2 linked regions of the Drosophila melanogaster genome follow. The protein of the gene in region 2 purifies or fractionates together with the protein of the main gene of each other region. This does not show direct contact. Each region holds a gene or a part of one and is shown on either strand. Other genes may lie near its edges.

Region 1 (9,376 bases), on a different chromosome or scaffold from region 2:
TTCACGAGTCCAAGGTGCCGAGTGGGAACTACCAGACTCAGAGTGCGATGTGGTGGCAGGTAATGCCGCTGCCGATTCCGATCTATCTTCGGTGGTGGTGCAGTTCGCCAGCGTGGCCACAACATCCAGCTTGCAGTCCTCATCGCTATCGAATTGTGTTGTGATCACGTGCTGTGGTGTGTTGCCAGCACTTAATTGCAGTGGCTCCAGCTCCTCCTCCGATTGATCTGTGTCCATTTTGAGATTTGTACAGAAAGGCATATTCTCGGCACTTTCATCCAGGCTGACTACCTCGACTTTCGTAATAGCTTCAGAGCTGCATTGGTTTGGAGGTTGCTGCTTGGCTTGCGCAATAATTCGAATGCCCGCCTTTGTATCTGCTGCATCCCGCACGCTCTCCTGATCGATCAGCGTGCGCAAGCGCTTTGCACACTCAATGGCTGGCGAAGATGAAGGCTGAGACTCATGGATAACAACCATTGGCTGATTATTGGCACGTTGTCTGCTCTGAGTTTGATTAAGAGGAGATCGGATCTTCTTAGTAGGTGACTTTCGTTTGTCGACTTGAGGGGAACTGTTGGGGGCCGCCGATAAGGGACTCAATCCCGAGTTGTTAAATGCCGATTGCTTGCGTGGGGATATTTCACCAAAGTTTATGGCAGTTTTTTTGGCGTGCGGATGATGGGATTGGTGAGAGTTGCCCAGATTGGGCGTACTGGTCGCTGCATTGTTAAAGCTTGAGTTGGTATACAAGCCGGGATTCAATCTGATTGCATGTGCTCTTAAGCCTGTCTCATCGCACATCTCAATAGATGAGCAGCTGTTCTGCTCATCACTCGTGGTATCAATAATCAAGGCGCGGCTGGCATCATCTTCCTCACTCCGATCCGCGCCATCGTCGCTATCTGTATTGGAAGCCATACTAAGAAGTTTTTCTCCCTGGGCACGAATACCATGGGCGCAGTTTATCGAGTCACTGGAGACGGGTGGCACGTCATGAGATTGTTCATTGTAAATACTGGCAGCCATAAAAGACAGTTTGGCAGGCAATAGGATCTTGGCTCCATAAAATATGCGACCATTGATATACTTTAAGTGACAACCTGGTTTACTTGGCGTAGGTACATCTGTAAACTCTTGAATAGTTTCCGTATATTCTCCCGTTGTATTGTTTTGAACGTCATGCAAATTTATGGTCTCTACAGGAGAAAGGATTCTGGAAATAAAAGACAATGTTACATTAAATCAATCTCGAGTATTTTGTTTACCATTCTTACCTTTTTGGTGGTTTTCCCTGTGGGAATTGTTGCACAAACCAATCGATCAGAAATTGATTGCCCTTGAGCAAGGGCATTATCTTATTTTCAACTTTTTTCATGCTGACATTAGGCATTTCGGCCAACTCGTTTAGACAGGCATAAATCTTCCTGATTTGAGCTGGCTGCTTACTGAAGTAAATGTTAAGTTTGTTGATAAAGTTGGTAGCATTGCATATCATAAAGTGCTCAAAGAATTTTCCCATCTCAGCGGCCTCGGCAGGTAGCAAAAAGTTGAGGAATACTTCAGCCAGTTCGGGATGAGTGGGTAGCAAAATTTCTTCCACTTTCTAAGAACCCCAAAAAAAAATTAGAATGCAATAAGAGTAAGACACTTAAGTGATACATACCAAATACAAAGATGAAACTTTCTCCTGCCTGGGGTCGAAGTTTTGCAAAATACTGTTGAATTTTTTGCAATCATCTAGGCGATTGGCACTCAGCAAGGCCTCCTCTACCTTTTCATAAAAATTCATGGCAAAAACTGAACGTGCAAAATAATAAAATTATTCAAGTTGAATTTCATTAAATGGGATTGAACTAAAACTTACTGGCATCTTTGCGATTGCGCTCTTCTGTAGTATCCGGCTGGAGCATTTGGCGAAGCATCTCCTCCTGCCGGTTGGCTCTTCTCAGCTTCGCCGCCTCATCATCACTCCTAGATCTCTTTGGCTGCGCTGCCGTTTTAGAGTTTGTATTGCTGCAGAACATCCTCAGATCGACCAGAAGTTGAGTGTACAGTTCGAGGGCGAAAAAACGATTGTGCACGACCTGTACCAACTCGCAGTCTTTATATTTTTCGATGTGATGACGCAGGTAGGATTCATAGGTGGTGATTAGGGAATGACAGCGCTGGCTTAGTTTATGGCGCAAACGTTCGCGCAATATATGGTATCGACTGCGGGTTGGTGTTGACCCTTTTCGCGATTTATTGGCGGATTGAACCTTTGGCTTAAAGATTTGGTATCGCGCCCTTTTGGCGTTTCTGCCTGGGACGGAAGGGGTATCCTGCGCAGGCAACAGATCCGGCTGTACGGCCTTGCTGGATTCCTCCAATTCGCAGATTTGTAGTGTGTTAGTGAACTTGTCTACTGTGAAGTTGATGGCTGGCGGAGCATTTTCATCCAATGGTGGAGGAGCAGGCGGCAAGGCCAGCAGACTACTGCACTCGGCGGCGGTGTATAAGCTGCGATTGATGTTCAGTACGTTCTCGGCCAGATTTCCGCCGGCCACCAAGGGCACCGAAACCCCAGAGACCCCGGGTATGTTTCCCGCGCTCGTATTCCCGCCAAAAACATAATTCACATTGATGGTAAGCTGTGGTGGGTTTTCCGCAGGGCGGGGTCTCCTTTGCGCTGGCCTTTTCTTCGGTTTGCTCTCCTTGGGCGGTTCCGAACCAGCAGCACTGCCATTGGGGACCGCAGCCTGACCAAAAGTCTCTGGCAGCAGCAGGTCCTCGCCGACCGCCTCGCGTACAAACTCCAAATAAGAAGCACTAGCCACCGACGATGCTTTCGATGCTTTAAAATTGCGACGTGTGCGCTTTTGATCCCAAGTTTTCTGAAAAATAATAGATTGAAAATTGTCCGCGATTTATAAACACAGCGATGGCACAAGCTATGTATATTGATATCGATAACTTTGGTCGATGGTACCTAGCCACCGATGACCAGTGATTTATTTCGTAAAATAATTCTGCCAACAATCACTAGCAAGTATATTACTTAAAATTTAAGAGAAAAATTAATAAAGTTCTAAACATGTATTCCTAATTAGGTACGGACATAGGTACATTTATGCAAATATTACTCATCACAGACGATAACTCGCTGCCTTGCCTATCGTAATATTGACCGCACTAAAGTAAGAGCGTCAACATATTTTATTGTTTTTAAATAAAATACCCCTTAAAACTATTTTCAAACCAACTAATTTATACTTGTTTAAACTTTAACCACCAGGGCTCAAACACTCTGCCTGTGGAAAACATCGGAAACCCGTTTATTCCCATAGAGTATCAAAACTGACCACGTCTGCACATTCCACTATGAGCAAAGTAACCTTCAAAATCACGCTAACTTCGGACCCCAAGCTGCCCTTTAAGGTGCTTAGTGTTCCGGAGGGAACTCCCTTTACGGCTGTGCTGAAATTCGCCTCTGAAGAGTTCAAGGTTCCGGCGGAGACGAGTGCCATCATCACGGACGATGGAATTGGCATCAGCCCACAGCAGACTGCTGGTAATGTGTTCCTAAAGCACGGATCCGAGCTGCGCCTCATACCCAGAGATCGAGTGGGCCACCAACTAAGCTAGTTTTCCTAATCCCATCTTATTTACCCTTTGAGATTTTCCCCCTTTTTGATGCTTATTAAATGTTAAACAATGTATCCGATAATAACCCATTGTATTCCTTACCTCAATGTAGTATTGCCAGCCACTGGGAAGCTCCATGTGTCGTTCCCGCGGAGTTCTCACCAGCCCACCAGCGAATCCCCAAAGGATGGCGTTAGCGGGCGGTGCTCGACGATGTTCAAAGAAATACTTCACTGGATTGTACTGTTTTGAGTTGCGTAGCTCCGCGATTTTCAAGAAAATTCGGCGGGCAGTCTTTCCACAAATCGTATCCTTAATCATTCGCTTACAGGCAACGCGAATGGGATCTGCACCTTTGCGTAGTTGTCTCTTGGCTTTTACCATTAATGCCAAGTGCTTCTCTAGGCCAATGGCAATAAGCTGATATTCGGATGGTGCGTAAGCGGTGGTTTGAGTCAGTTTCGGTTGAAACGCCATACGGGGTAGGTACTGCGGATACATAAACACCCGGCTATCCAGCATGAGATCCATAATACGAGGCGCCAGCCTGGGAACCTGGCGCGTGTGGCCATCACTAAAATAGTAAATACAAGTTGTACAGCAGCATGTTTTGTTTAAAGTTTCACCAACTTACGTCAGATCCGTTTCCTTATTGATGAAGTCCATCATCTTCTCGTTCTCCTCCTTAAACTCATCACTGGACAGATCATGTTCCCATTTTCTAACCAGCTGAACAGCCTCCTGCAGATTCCAGCAATTAAAACTGGGATCTTTAGTTGCCATTTTGTGCAATTCTTCCAACATTTCTCTGGGCTTCTTGGCCATGGGGTACAACGTAGGATGGGAGTAGGTTTGCAGATAGCTTTGACTGAGCAACTGCGTGTGAATGCGAAGCTGCTGCTGAAGCATATCATGCTGAGACTGGGTAAATCCCCTGCTCCTGGCGAGATGATTGAGGTTTACTGGCTCTACGTTTCGCAGGCTCTCAAACTTTTCCTCATACTCCGAATATATATGTTTCCTAACCGAGATGTATTCCCAGGTGAAGTTCGTATCAAATGGTTTTTTATATCGATCTCCATTGCTTGCAGCTACCACGGGGGGTTCCATTGGATGCAAGCTAGAAAAGTTCTGCAGTGTCTCTTCAGTTAATGGAAGACCAACAGTTGAATCATTGCCTACAACTTTGGCGATTTGGAAGCAATTAGGTTGCCCAGGTATTGGAACAGCTATTAGTTCGGGGGGAACAGTCAGCGCCTCGGAAGGTATGTTTACCACATTGCAAGCGGATCCACCAGTTTCCTCCTGCAGCACAGCCACAGGGACAGGCACACCCATGCCCATTTCGTTCCCTTCGCAAGGAGGCGGCATTAGATTAGGTTGAAAAACGGACAGCTCCTGCTGATTAGCATTTATCTGCTGGCCATCAAAATCGATGTTACGGGACACTTGATCAATGGGAATCATCGAAACGTTGGCACTTTCAACGAATTTTTGAGGTGTTTCCAATTCAATCGATTCCAGAGAGACTCCTTCTTCCAGCAAACCAGCAAACAGCTCAGAGACCAGGTCAGTTAACTCTTTTTTAGATATATTTACATCGCGCAGCTCCTCGGCGTTCTCATATTCCGATTCCAAGTGATCAGCGGCCACATATTCTGGATCGTTAATAGGATCATCATCGTCGCCCTGGACCGTATTGTCTGTAAGATATTAAAGTTAGGGAGAGCATAAAAGCATCCATTGATACTACATACTTAAAGGCTTTGTAAAGTCATTGAGGAACTGCATCCAATCCGCATCGTTGGCGGTCATTTCGTTCTCCACCACATCGCTAGGCTCCACGTCCGGCGGGACAAATTCCGACTGCAAATCCTCAATGGTAGTTTGCTGCAAACAAAATTTGGAGCGCGTTCTAGTGGCAATCCTAAGATCCTCTTTATCCTGAAAATTTCTGTCCAACGGCACCTTGAAACAACCGTCATCAGAGAATTTGATAGGAGATTCCTCATTGGCAGTAAGAGGAGTTTGAGGCGTGCAGGGATTGGAGTCGAAATCCGATGCTGTAGTGTTAGGATCATCATCGGACTGATAATAAAGGAATAATAACAATTATTGAACAACGATCAATTGGCCTCAATGTTTATACTCACATGAAAGTCCTCCTCCTTGAAGGTATACTCCTCGTCCTCCTCATCAGAGTGCAAATCCTCACGTATTAGAGCCTCTATACCATTATTGTCGGTGGAAGTTTCATTGAGCTGGGGCAGCGAGATCCCAGGCGTGCAGTTCAGTTCCCGTGCTTTCGCTCGCGTTAGCTTGGGCACAGATGGAGTGTCCGTTATGATGATGGCACCCCGCTTTTGCTGCTCCGCCGACTCCAACTTCTCCCGCGCCAGCTCGTCCTCCGCCTTCAAAGTGACTAATGCCAGAACATGATCGTTGCGCACCACCTTCCGGACCACCTTTTGCATGTCCTCGGCACTGATGGAGTTCTTCTTGGCCACTTTCCGTAGCCGGCGATCGATCTCCTTGGCATCCTCATCGACCTGCGAGTCCAGGCTCTGGCGATCCACTCGTTTGCGCTTTCGCGGTCTTCGTGGCGTCGAGCTATTGCTCTTTGCAGAGTCCGACTTCTTTGCACTGCTCGGCATTGCGACACTTCATTTATGAGTGAAATTTTAGCTTAAATTCAACCCAACTGCCAAATAAAAGCGGCAGTTTATTTAGGAAATGCCGCCACTATAATGTGCCATATCGATTTGAGGTGGGGCAATCAACGATATTAGTTTGATAGTATCGATTGCAATTCACGTGACGTATTAACTGTTTATTTTTAAATTAAATTATAAGGCTGTATTGTACACTAAATTAATAGTTCGAGAGCAACGAGAATTAAGTTTACATATTAATTTAATTCTGTTTATTAAATATATTATTCTCGTATCGATAATATATCGAAAGTGTCTAATGCTTCCTCAAACCCTCTGGTCACACCATGCTCTGCTTTTCCGGGCTTCTGCCCAAAAATAATATATAATAATAAAACCGCTTCACAAAGTAAATGTCACCAAAAGAGAAGGCAGTTCAAGAAGCAACCGAGGAGCTGATTTGCCTTTTTCCCTCCGCAGCAGTGTCCAGGCCAGAAGATCCGTCCACATCGTTTTAGCTGTGAGGTATGCCCTCGACCTGATATGAATCACATGCCCGCCGAATGATAATCGACTCCACCCAAGACCTAGAAATCTGAAATGACAGAGAAAGTGACTAAACTGGCGCTGGCCAGTCGCCTTATCGTCCTCCTGGTACAATTGGTCGCCAACGGAGCCCTGCCAGAGCACAAACCAGATGTATTCCGGATGCCGGTTTCGTCAGATCAGAATGCCTCCTGGATAGACAAGGTGATTAAGCGCTGCTTGGGAGGATTACGGCACTGGGATGGAGAATACTTTCTGCATATAGCCGAGAATCTGTACAGCTACGAAAACACGTTGGCCTTCTATCCACTATATCCGGTTGTCGTGCGTCACGTGGGACAGGCCGTGGAGGCCATCGGGATCTCCTTATCACAGGAATCTATCCTGCTGGTGGTGGCTGTCGCCCTGAACTTCTGGCTCTTCTGCGAGTCAGCTAATTTGCTGTTTCAGCTCACCCAAGTATTGTTCAACGATTTAAACAAGAGCTGGAATGCGGCCCTCATCTACTGCTTTAATCCGGCAACCATTTTCTTCACCGCCGCCTACTCAGAGACCTTTTTCGCCTACTCCAGCCTTCATCTGATGCTGGAGTGCTCGAAGCCGACGGGTAGCTTCCGATATCTGCGTTTGGGAACCGCCTTAGCCGCCTGTTTACTGTGCCGCTCAAATGGATTAATCACCTTGGGATACCCGCTCTACTTCTTCGGACGCCAACTGCTACTCAAGAACAAGGAGCCCAACACCTGCATGCAGCTGACACAAATGACGCTGACCATTCTGGGAGCCATTGGGATACTGCACACCTACTATTTCTACATATACAGGCTATACTGTCTGCCGAACACAAGGCCAAACCATCCGCAGCACATTGTGGACTACGCAGTGGAACGGAAGTACCTATTGTCTGGCCAGGGCTCTGAAGGATCACCTTGGTGCCAGTACACGTTGCCGTTCCCCTACACTTACGTGCAGTCGCACTACTGGGATGTGGGCTTCCTGCGATACTACAAGTGGAAACAGCTGCCCAACTTCTTGCTGGCCCTGCCCATGCTGAGTTTCATGCACTGGCACTGCTACGACTACATGCAGCATTTGGCCAAAGCGGTCTGGGCCAAATTGACGCCCTCTGGCTTCAAGGAGCTGATAAGGGACCACACCACATTCCCTTTCGTGCTGCACGCTGCGATTCTCACCCTTGTCTGCACCGTCTACGTGCACATCCAAGTGTCCACACGCCTCCTGGCCTCGGCCACACCTGTTTTCTACTGGTTTGCCGCTGACCACATGCCCAAGACACTGGCCCAACTAAAACTGCGTTCGAAGGCAGGAGCTCTCTTTGTATGGTGCACCACTTATAGTTTGGTGGGCACGGTGCTATTCAGTAATAATTACCCGTGGACGTGAGCAAAATGATTGAAGTAAAAGGAGCAATATAACTCGCTGGTTGCCAAAGAGACTGTTCATCCGCATGGATTTCTTTTTTAGTGTGTAAATAATCGTCCAAGTTCTCAAAATTCAATTGTTGAGGCGCTCAAAAGTATTGGTTTCCCATTTCTATTTCCATATATCATATACAAAAAAGTAAAAAATAAAATTGTTGACCATTTTAGAAAATAATTGTAATGATTGTTTTGTATTACTGTTACATAAGTTTACATTTTCCTAACCATTACAAAATTATGTGTTTAAAATTTGCGCTTCGTTTTTGAAACTTGGTATATAAGATATAATTATGTATTTCTAGTATTTTCCAAACGTAAGCGGTCACACTCAGAATCAGCTGACTTGGGTGGTTGACCAAAACAACAAAGAATTTTCTTGAGAAAATTGTTTATTATTTCATATCCGCGAATTAAAAAGTATTCGCCATGGATGGGCATCTGCGCCTGCATAAGGTAGGCGACTACGCCGCACCGAGTCTTCAGGAGAAGGCCAGCAAGGCGGGCGGCAACATGGAACAGCTTTCGGGCGTGATGATAATCATCATAATCAGCGGAGGAGTACTTACTTGCCTGATGCTGTTCATCTTTGCCAAGCGGCAGATTATGCGCTTCCAGCTGCGAGGACGTCGGGGGCCCCACGTTCCGGTAGGCAATGATGCCAAGAAGGCACTAAGGAGAGAGATTGAGCGGCGCCTAGATTGCATCCAGAAAATCACGCAGGAGCCGAAACTGCTGTGGGACGATGGCGACAAGTACATCGTTCAGCCGGAGCAGGAGGCACCATTGCCACCCTACTACTACCGCATGAAGGCGGTTGATGACGTGAAACTGCTAGAATCCGAAATAGCGAGGGCGGACGGTAGCTCCCGACATGCTCCTGAGAGCTTGAGGGCCTTTCTGCTGACCACTTTATCGGTGACGCTTAACGGAGCAGGGCAGCGAATGATTCACCAATATTGCGATATGTACGAACATGCTCGGCACGATCCGAATGAGTTCGGAAAGGATGAGTACGAGGCGTATCACCATTTGCTGCTGAAGCTGATGGAGGCGTATGTGAACTAGAGTGGGCTATTTGTTAATCTTTTCAATGACAATGAACTTTGCTTT
Region 2 (6,205 bases):
ACAGTGTCCCATCTCCGCAAACGCAATTAGAGCTACATCTTTTGACAAGTGATTTGTTTCGGACCGAGAAACTACCCAGGCAAACGTTTATAAATAGCATGTGACTTGTGGCAAGGAAAGGAAAAAAAAAAAAAATAATAACCAGCGGCACGTTAGGAAGACTCTTCCATATGGTCGTCTACTGAATCCAATTCGGCGTGTCATGTTGCTAGGTCCTGTGTCCTGGAGGATGATTCGCCCGGTTTGTTACCCAGTTCCCCTTTAGTTTCCCATCCCCGGAGAACCACTCATGCATCCGAGCATCCAGCTCGAGCATCCCTTATAGGTGATGCCTTACTTGTTCCTGGTTCCCCCACACACACACACACACACACACACACAGATTCCAGACTACTTCTAGCAACAGCCACCGCTGCTACCTTGTCTGAAGTCTGAAAAAACAACCCACCCGAGCACCATGAGTCCATGAGTAATCTGTCTTTGGATTCCCGCTCTGATGTTCCTCTGAATGGCGCCCACGCAACTGGAACTTTAGCTTCAGCTCCATTGGAGCATGCTAACTAAGCCGAAGCCCTCGATACTCTGCTCATTGCCGAACCATAAGTAATGCGCCTACTTTATAAGGGTTTTTTTCTGCACTCAAAAGCACTAGAACCCGCTAAAAATATGTATTTTCTGAAGTCATTCTAAAAATCTAAAAGGAAAACGTATTTGATGCATGAAAATAAACACCCTCAATCGAGAATGAGCTGTTCTGTCAGAGTTTCTTACTAAAAGAGAACTTCTGGGAAATACCCAGAATAGATATAAAAACAAAATTTCAATCTGTTTTTGCATTGGATTTTTATAGCAGCGTTGAACTTCTAGTTTAATAGATATATAAAAATAAAAACCCCCGCAAAAAGTAGCTTGTGACTTCAATTTTATCAGAGTTGATAATAATAAATGAGTAAATGGAGATTCCAGGTAAAAATAACAAAAAATAAGTGCAACTTTGTAAAGTCAAAGCAATACAAATTATATATTCATTTAGTTAAGTGTAATGATTCATTTCCCTGCCATCATATTGCTCTAACCATTTATAGACGTTATCATTTAAAGAATAACATGAAATTCCATGTAGTGATTAAAACAAAGTACACAGTTTCCTGTACTCTTGCTCTTTGATTAAGGCTATGGCACATCTGGTACTATTTTGTAAATAGATTGATATGAAAAAGTAACCCATCCAAGATCATAAAGTTCATGTTCGTGTCATGGGCATGGTTGATTATTTCACCATTAGCAGACTTTAAAAATAATCCGGAAAATGTAATTCGACTGGCTACGGCGACAAAACACACCCCCAAAAAAATATAAACATATTTATGTGCCCATCTAAAGAGCAATTTCAAGTCGACCAGAGCCAAGGCGACGCAAAGCCTCCCTTCTCAAATCGCAATGTGTTTCACTTTCGTTTCACTTCCGCTTTAGAAGTTCGTATGATTTACCACCGGGTTTCCTTCTGCCCGCAAGGGAGGATGGATATGGGGATGAGCCGTTTTGAGTCGAATCCAGTCGATTCGGTGGCTGTCACAACAACGACAGCCGCACAACAGGCGGCCATCATATGATTCCTGCCCTCTAAACTCCAGCGGGTTGTTTAAGGCGGAGACGACACCCTCGGCCATTGCTCACTGATGGAATTCCGCACAGCGCTGAACGTTTGTTGGCAATCTTATTAGTGGCATAATTGAACGACGTCCACGTCCTGGCATCATAAGCATCATATAACGTTGTCCCTTGGGAAGCGCCGTTCATTAGGGGCGCTCAAATCTGGTGACTCAATTGAATTAGATGCCCAGAAGTTACACGGATGGAAAAAATGTATGGCACAAGACAGTGATTGTCTTAAATTTACATATCATTTAACACAAATGGAAAACAGCATCTAGAAATATCTAATGATTCTTTAAGTAAATCATTTGGTATCTCAAAGATAGCAGATACCTTAAAACAGTTTACATCCCCTTGAATATCACTAAGAACTTATTATTTCCATGAGATGAAGCTGCATTTCTCTCTGTGTAGCTTGGCACTCACCGAGGTCAGCGACGCGTATGCCGAAGCAGTTCAAGTCCTTGTTGAGTGGTGGCTGCAGCGGCAGCGTAGCGGGGGTGTTGATAGCCGGCACCAGAGCTTCTTGCGGGCGTTTCCTGGCCACGGCGATGCCAATGGGAACGGAGTTGCCTGATAGAATCGTAATTAACCGATGAGGAGTGCTCTTGACCAGTGGCTGGGTGTCACCTACCTGTGGACTTTTCCAATTCCGATACCTTTGGCGAGGGAGCCTCTATTTTGACGAGAGTGGTCAGTGTGGAGGAGGACATGGTCTTGGAGGAGGCGGTCATCGAGGCGGAAGACAGGCCCTGATGCTGCACCTGGTGCTGGTGGTGTTGGTGATGTTGCTGCTGTTGCTGGTGGCAATTGTTCGAGCTTATTTCGGACACCTGGCAGGGTTCCCTCTTGATCTGCACAAAAGTGTACGACGAGTTGGTCTGCTGATGGTGATGGTGCTGCAGGGGAGTGGCCGTCGCCGCGGAGAAGCCTCCGAATTGATCCAGCTGCAGATGGGCGGTATGGGCACCAGGATGCGATACTGCCGCAGTGGTGGGCACCAGAAAAGTAGCCGTTGCTGTGGTGGCGCTCAGAACGTCGGCGGCACTGCTGCTGGCGCCAGGATTAAACGTGGCCATCGGGTAGCGGTGGCTGTGCACATATATGTATGGCTACCGCTCCCTGGGATCTCTAGCCTATACCTATTTCACTATATATCTTGCGGATTCGACCAAAAACTAAACGTCCATTATCCGCACACACAAACACACGTGGACACACACGGCACACGGACACACACTAGCACTGGCCCACACACACACGCACACAGTCTACATTTTTACAGGTTTTCGCTGCCTCTTTCGGATGCAACATTGGCTACTGGGCCTGCGGCAATTCCCCATAAACAAATGACATAATCCAAAGCGACGCGACGCCACTGGGCACTATCCACAGGTCGAGGGAACCGAAGCACCCACCAGTCCAAGTGCGGTTGCCCAAAATAAAACCCTGTGCGATCCGAGATCTTTTCTTTTTTTTTGTGTTTTTTTTTTTTGGTGGGGAGGCGGAGGCGCGACTTTCCTGCTGCGTTGTTGCGTTTTTGCGCGGTTCTTCCAAGTGAATATCGAGCACTGGCTGCAGAGCTATTGGCCAACACACGATCTGTTGCTTATTTATGTTTTTCTTTTGCGAATTGGAATCAAAATCCTCTGGAGAAAAGTCCACGGGACGGACAAAAAAAGAAGCAGCGAACTATGTTAAGTTAACAGCGATATAACAGGGACTATTCGATTTTATTGCTGCCTTGTCGATGATTCACCAGCAGGCGTTAGGCATTTTTAGCAGGACTGGTTTGGCCATCGGCATTTCTGCTATCGATAACATCCAGAGCGCGCAATTTAAAATATTATAAAATATTTGAAATATTTTTTTTTTAATAATTATCATCTCACAGATGAATGTCAAATTTTATTTCCCAGCACATAATAACAATTAAAAGTCGCCTAGAAATGCATATGGAATATAAAAGTCAACGAACGCACTAACTAATCCAGCATTTTGCGTATCATATAGTTCAAAATGCCGCCATTCTTGTAGTACGTTATGTCCACCTCGGTGTCGAAACGCAACGTGGTCTCAAAGACATTGCCATCAGCATCGACCTGAATCCTCTGGCCCGGCTTCAGTTCGCCCTCGGGCAGGACAATGTTGTACACCTCCCTGCCACTCAGTTTCAGGGTATCGGCGCTCTGGCCAGGCAAGAACTGCAGCGGAATGATGCCCATGCCCACCAGATTTGAGCGGTGAATGCGCTCGTACGATTCAGCAATCACCGCCTTGATGCCCAGCAGAAATGGCCCCTTGGCGGCCCAATCACGTGAGCTGCCACTGCCGTAGTCCTTGCCTACGACCAGAACCAAAGGTGTTCCTTCGCTCGCATACCGTTCCGCCGCATCGAAGATGTCCATCTCCTCGCCACTGGGCACGTGCAGTGTGCTGGGTCCCGTCTTGGATGCCAGTTTATTGACCAGACGGATGTTGGCAAAGGTTCCGCGTGCCATCACCGCATCATTGCCACGTCTGGATCCATACGAATTAAAGTCGCGCGGCGTTAGACCCCTTTCCGACAAATAGCGCGCTGCCGGTGACTTTCGTGCAATGGATCCGGCTGGCGAGATATGATCGGTGGTCACTGAATCACCGAGAAGCAGCAGACAGCGAGCCTTCTCGATACCTTTAAGTTTGGGCAGCGCACGAGTCATACCCTCGAAGAACGGTGGTAGTTTGATGTATGTTGATATTTCACTCCATGGATACAACTTGCTATCCGACACCTCCAACGTTTGCCAGTCCCTGGATCCCAGTTGAATTTTGCCTGTGATAGCGGACACAGTTAGCCTAGAGCTGCGGAAAAATCTTAGTCAGCTAGCTATACTCACTGTACACCTCCTGGAACATGGCGGGAATGACGTGCTTATGCTCTACCTCCTGAATCTCACTGCGCGTTGGCCAGATATCGCGCAGGAACACCTCCTTGCCGTTGGAATCCACGCCCAGCGGTTCGATCTCGAAATCAATATCCACACGGCCGGCAATCGCGTAGGCAATCACCAGCAGCGGACTGGCCAGATAATTGGCCCTAGTATTGGGATGGATGCGACCCTCGAAATTGCGATTGCCCGACAGGACGCCACAGCAAACCAGTCCGTTCTTCTCGATGGTGTTCACTACGTTCTCATCGAGCGGGCCCGAGTTGCCAATGCAGGTCATACAGCCATAGCCCACAATGTCGAAGCCCAGCTGCTCCAGATAGGGAATCACACCGGATTCCCTCAGATAGTAGGTAACCACGCCAGATCCTGGTGACAATGAGGTCTTGATATACGGCAAAATACTCAAGCCCTTCTGCACGGCATTCTTGGCCAGCAGACCAGCGCCCAACATCACCGAGGGATTCGAAGTGTTCGTGCACGAGGTGATGGCGGCAATCACAACAGATCCATGACCTATCTTATAGCTCTTCCCATCGTCCCATTGGAATTCACCACTTGCAGCCAATGCACTCGGTGGTATGGCGAATCCCTTGAAGCCGACAGGACTTATGAGGCACGACTTGAAGTCTTCGCACATGCTGGAAACTGAAACGCGATCGTGCGGTCGCTTGGGCCCCGAAACCGAGGTCACCACGGTGGATAAGTCCAAAGTTACAGACTGCAGGGTAAAAAAGTGATTCGTTAGTATGTCTTTGCATTGGAAAAACAGAATCTCACTTACCTCCGTGTATTGGGGATCCTGATCCACAAGGGAATAGTCACGAAGTTGTCGAGTGGCCTTCAAATACTTCCGGATAATATCGATTTTCTTCTCGGAGCGATCTAATGATCCACATCCATGGATATCAAGTAATAAATTTAGATAATTTTTAAGATTGACTCACTGGTTTGGCGCATGTAACTCAGCGTGTTTTCATCGATTGGGAAGTAACCCACAGTGGCTCCATATTCCGGACACATGTTGCTGATGGTGGCGCGATCCGCGATGCTGAGCTCTGCCACTCCGGGGCCGTAAAACTCCACGAACTTGCCGACGACACCAAGCTGACGCAAATGCTTGGTAATGGTCAGCACCAGATCGGTGGATGTGGCCAGAGGGCCCAGTTTGCCCTCCAGCCTGTAGCCAATCACCTCTGGCAACAGCATGGAAATGGACTGGCCCAACATTACGGCCTCCGCCTCGATACCGCCAACACCCCAGCCGAGAACACCTAATCCATTGATCATTGTAGTGTGGGAGTCAGTGCCCACAACGCTATCCGGATAAAGGATCTTAGATCCGTCCGCTGAACTGTCGCTTTCGAAAACCACTCGGGCCAGATACTCCAGGTTAACCTGGTGCACAATGCCAGAGCCGGGTGGCACAATTAGCATATTGTCAAAAGCGCGAGCTCCCCATTTGAGGAAGGTGAATCGTTCCTTGTTGCGCTGGAACTCTAGTGACTCGTTCTTGGTCAATGCGTCCGAGGAGCGAACGAAATCCACCTGAACGGAATGGTCGATGACCAGGTCGGCAGGGCAGATGGGATTGATTTTCTCAGGATTGCCGCCCAGCT

The links. Proteins that work in one complex are often made in the same cells at the same time.
Region 1: the proteins of wge (region 2) and mute purify together in Drosophila melanogaster (affinity purification with western blotting, with the first as the bait; one study listed by BioGRID). This does not show direct contact.

What each region holds. Positions count from the first base shown.
Region 1 is NT_033778.4:16,948,875-16,958,250, forward strand, and holds the start of mute (muscle wasted), read right to left. Parts: upstream 6,393-9,376; 5' UTR 6,282-6,392; coding exon 5,781-6,281; intron 5,716-5,780; coding exon 5,385-5,715; intron 5,331-5,384; coding exon 4,262-5,330; intron 4,202-4,261; coding exon 3,730-4,201; intron 3,708-3,729; exon of another isoform or gene 3,628-3,707; coding exon of another isoform or gene 3,364-3,627; exon of another isoform or gene 3,278-3,363; intron 3,180-3,277; exon of another isoform or gene 2,963-3,179; intron 2,950-2,962; exon of another isoform or gene 2,877-2,949; coding exon 1,868-2,876; intron 1,801-1,867; coding exon 1,667-1,800; intron 1,607-1,666; coding exon 1,278-1,606; intron 1,217-1,277; coding exon 1-1,216. Other genes in the region: Ufm1 (Ubiquitin-fold modifier 1), read left to right, coding at 3,364-3,627; PIG-V (phosphatidylinositol glycan anchor biosynthesis class V), read left to right, coding at 6,879-8,228; CG6665 (uncharacterized protein), read left to right, coding at 8,693-9,318.
Region 2 is NT_033777.3:22,717,789-22,723,993, forward strand, and holds the start of wge (winged eye), read right to left. Parts: upstream 3,363-6,205; 5' UTR 2,736-3,362; coding exon 2,291-2,735; intron 2,230-2,290; coding exon 2,083-2,229; intron 1-2,082. Other genes in the region: Irp-1A (iron regulatory protein 1A), read right to left, coding at 3,642-4,471, 4,536-5,307, 5,371-5,471, 5,534-6,205.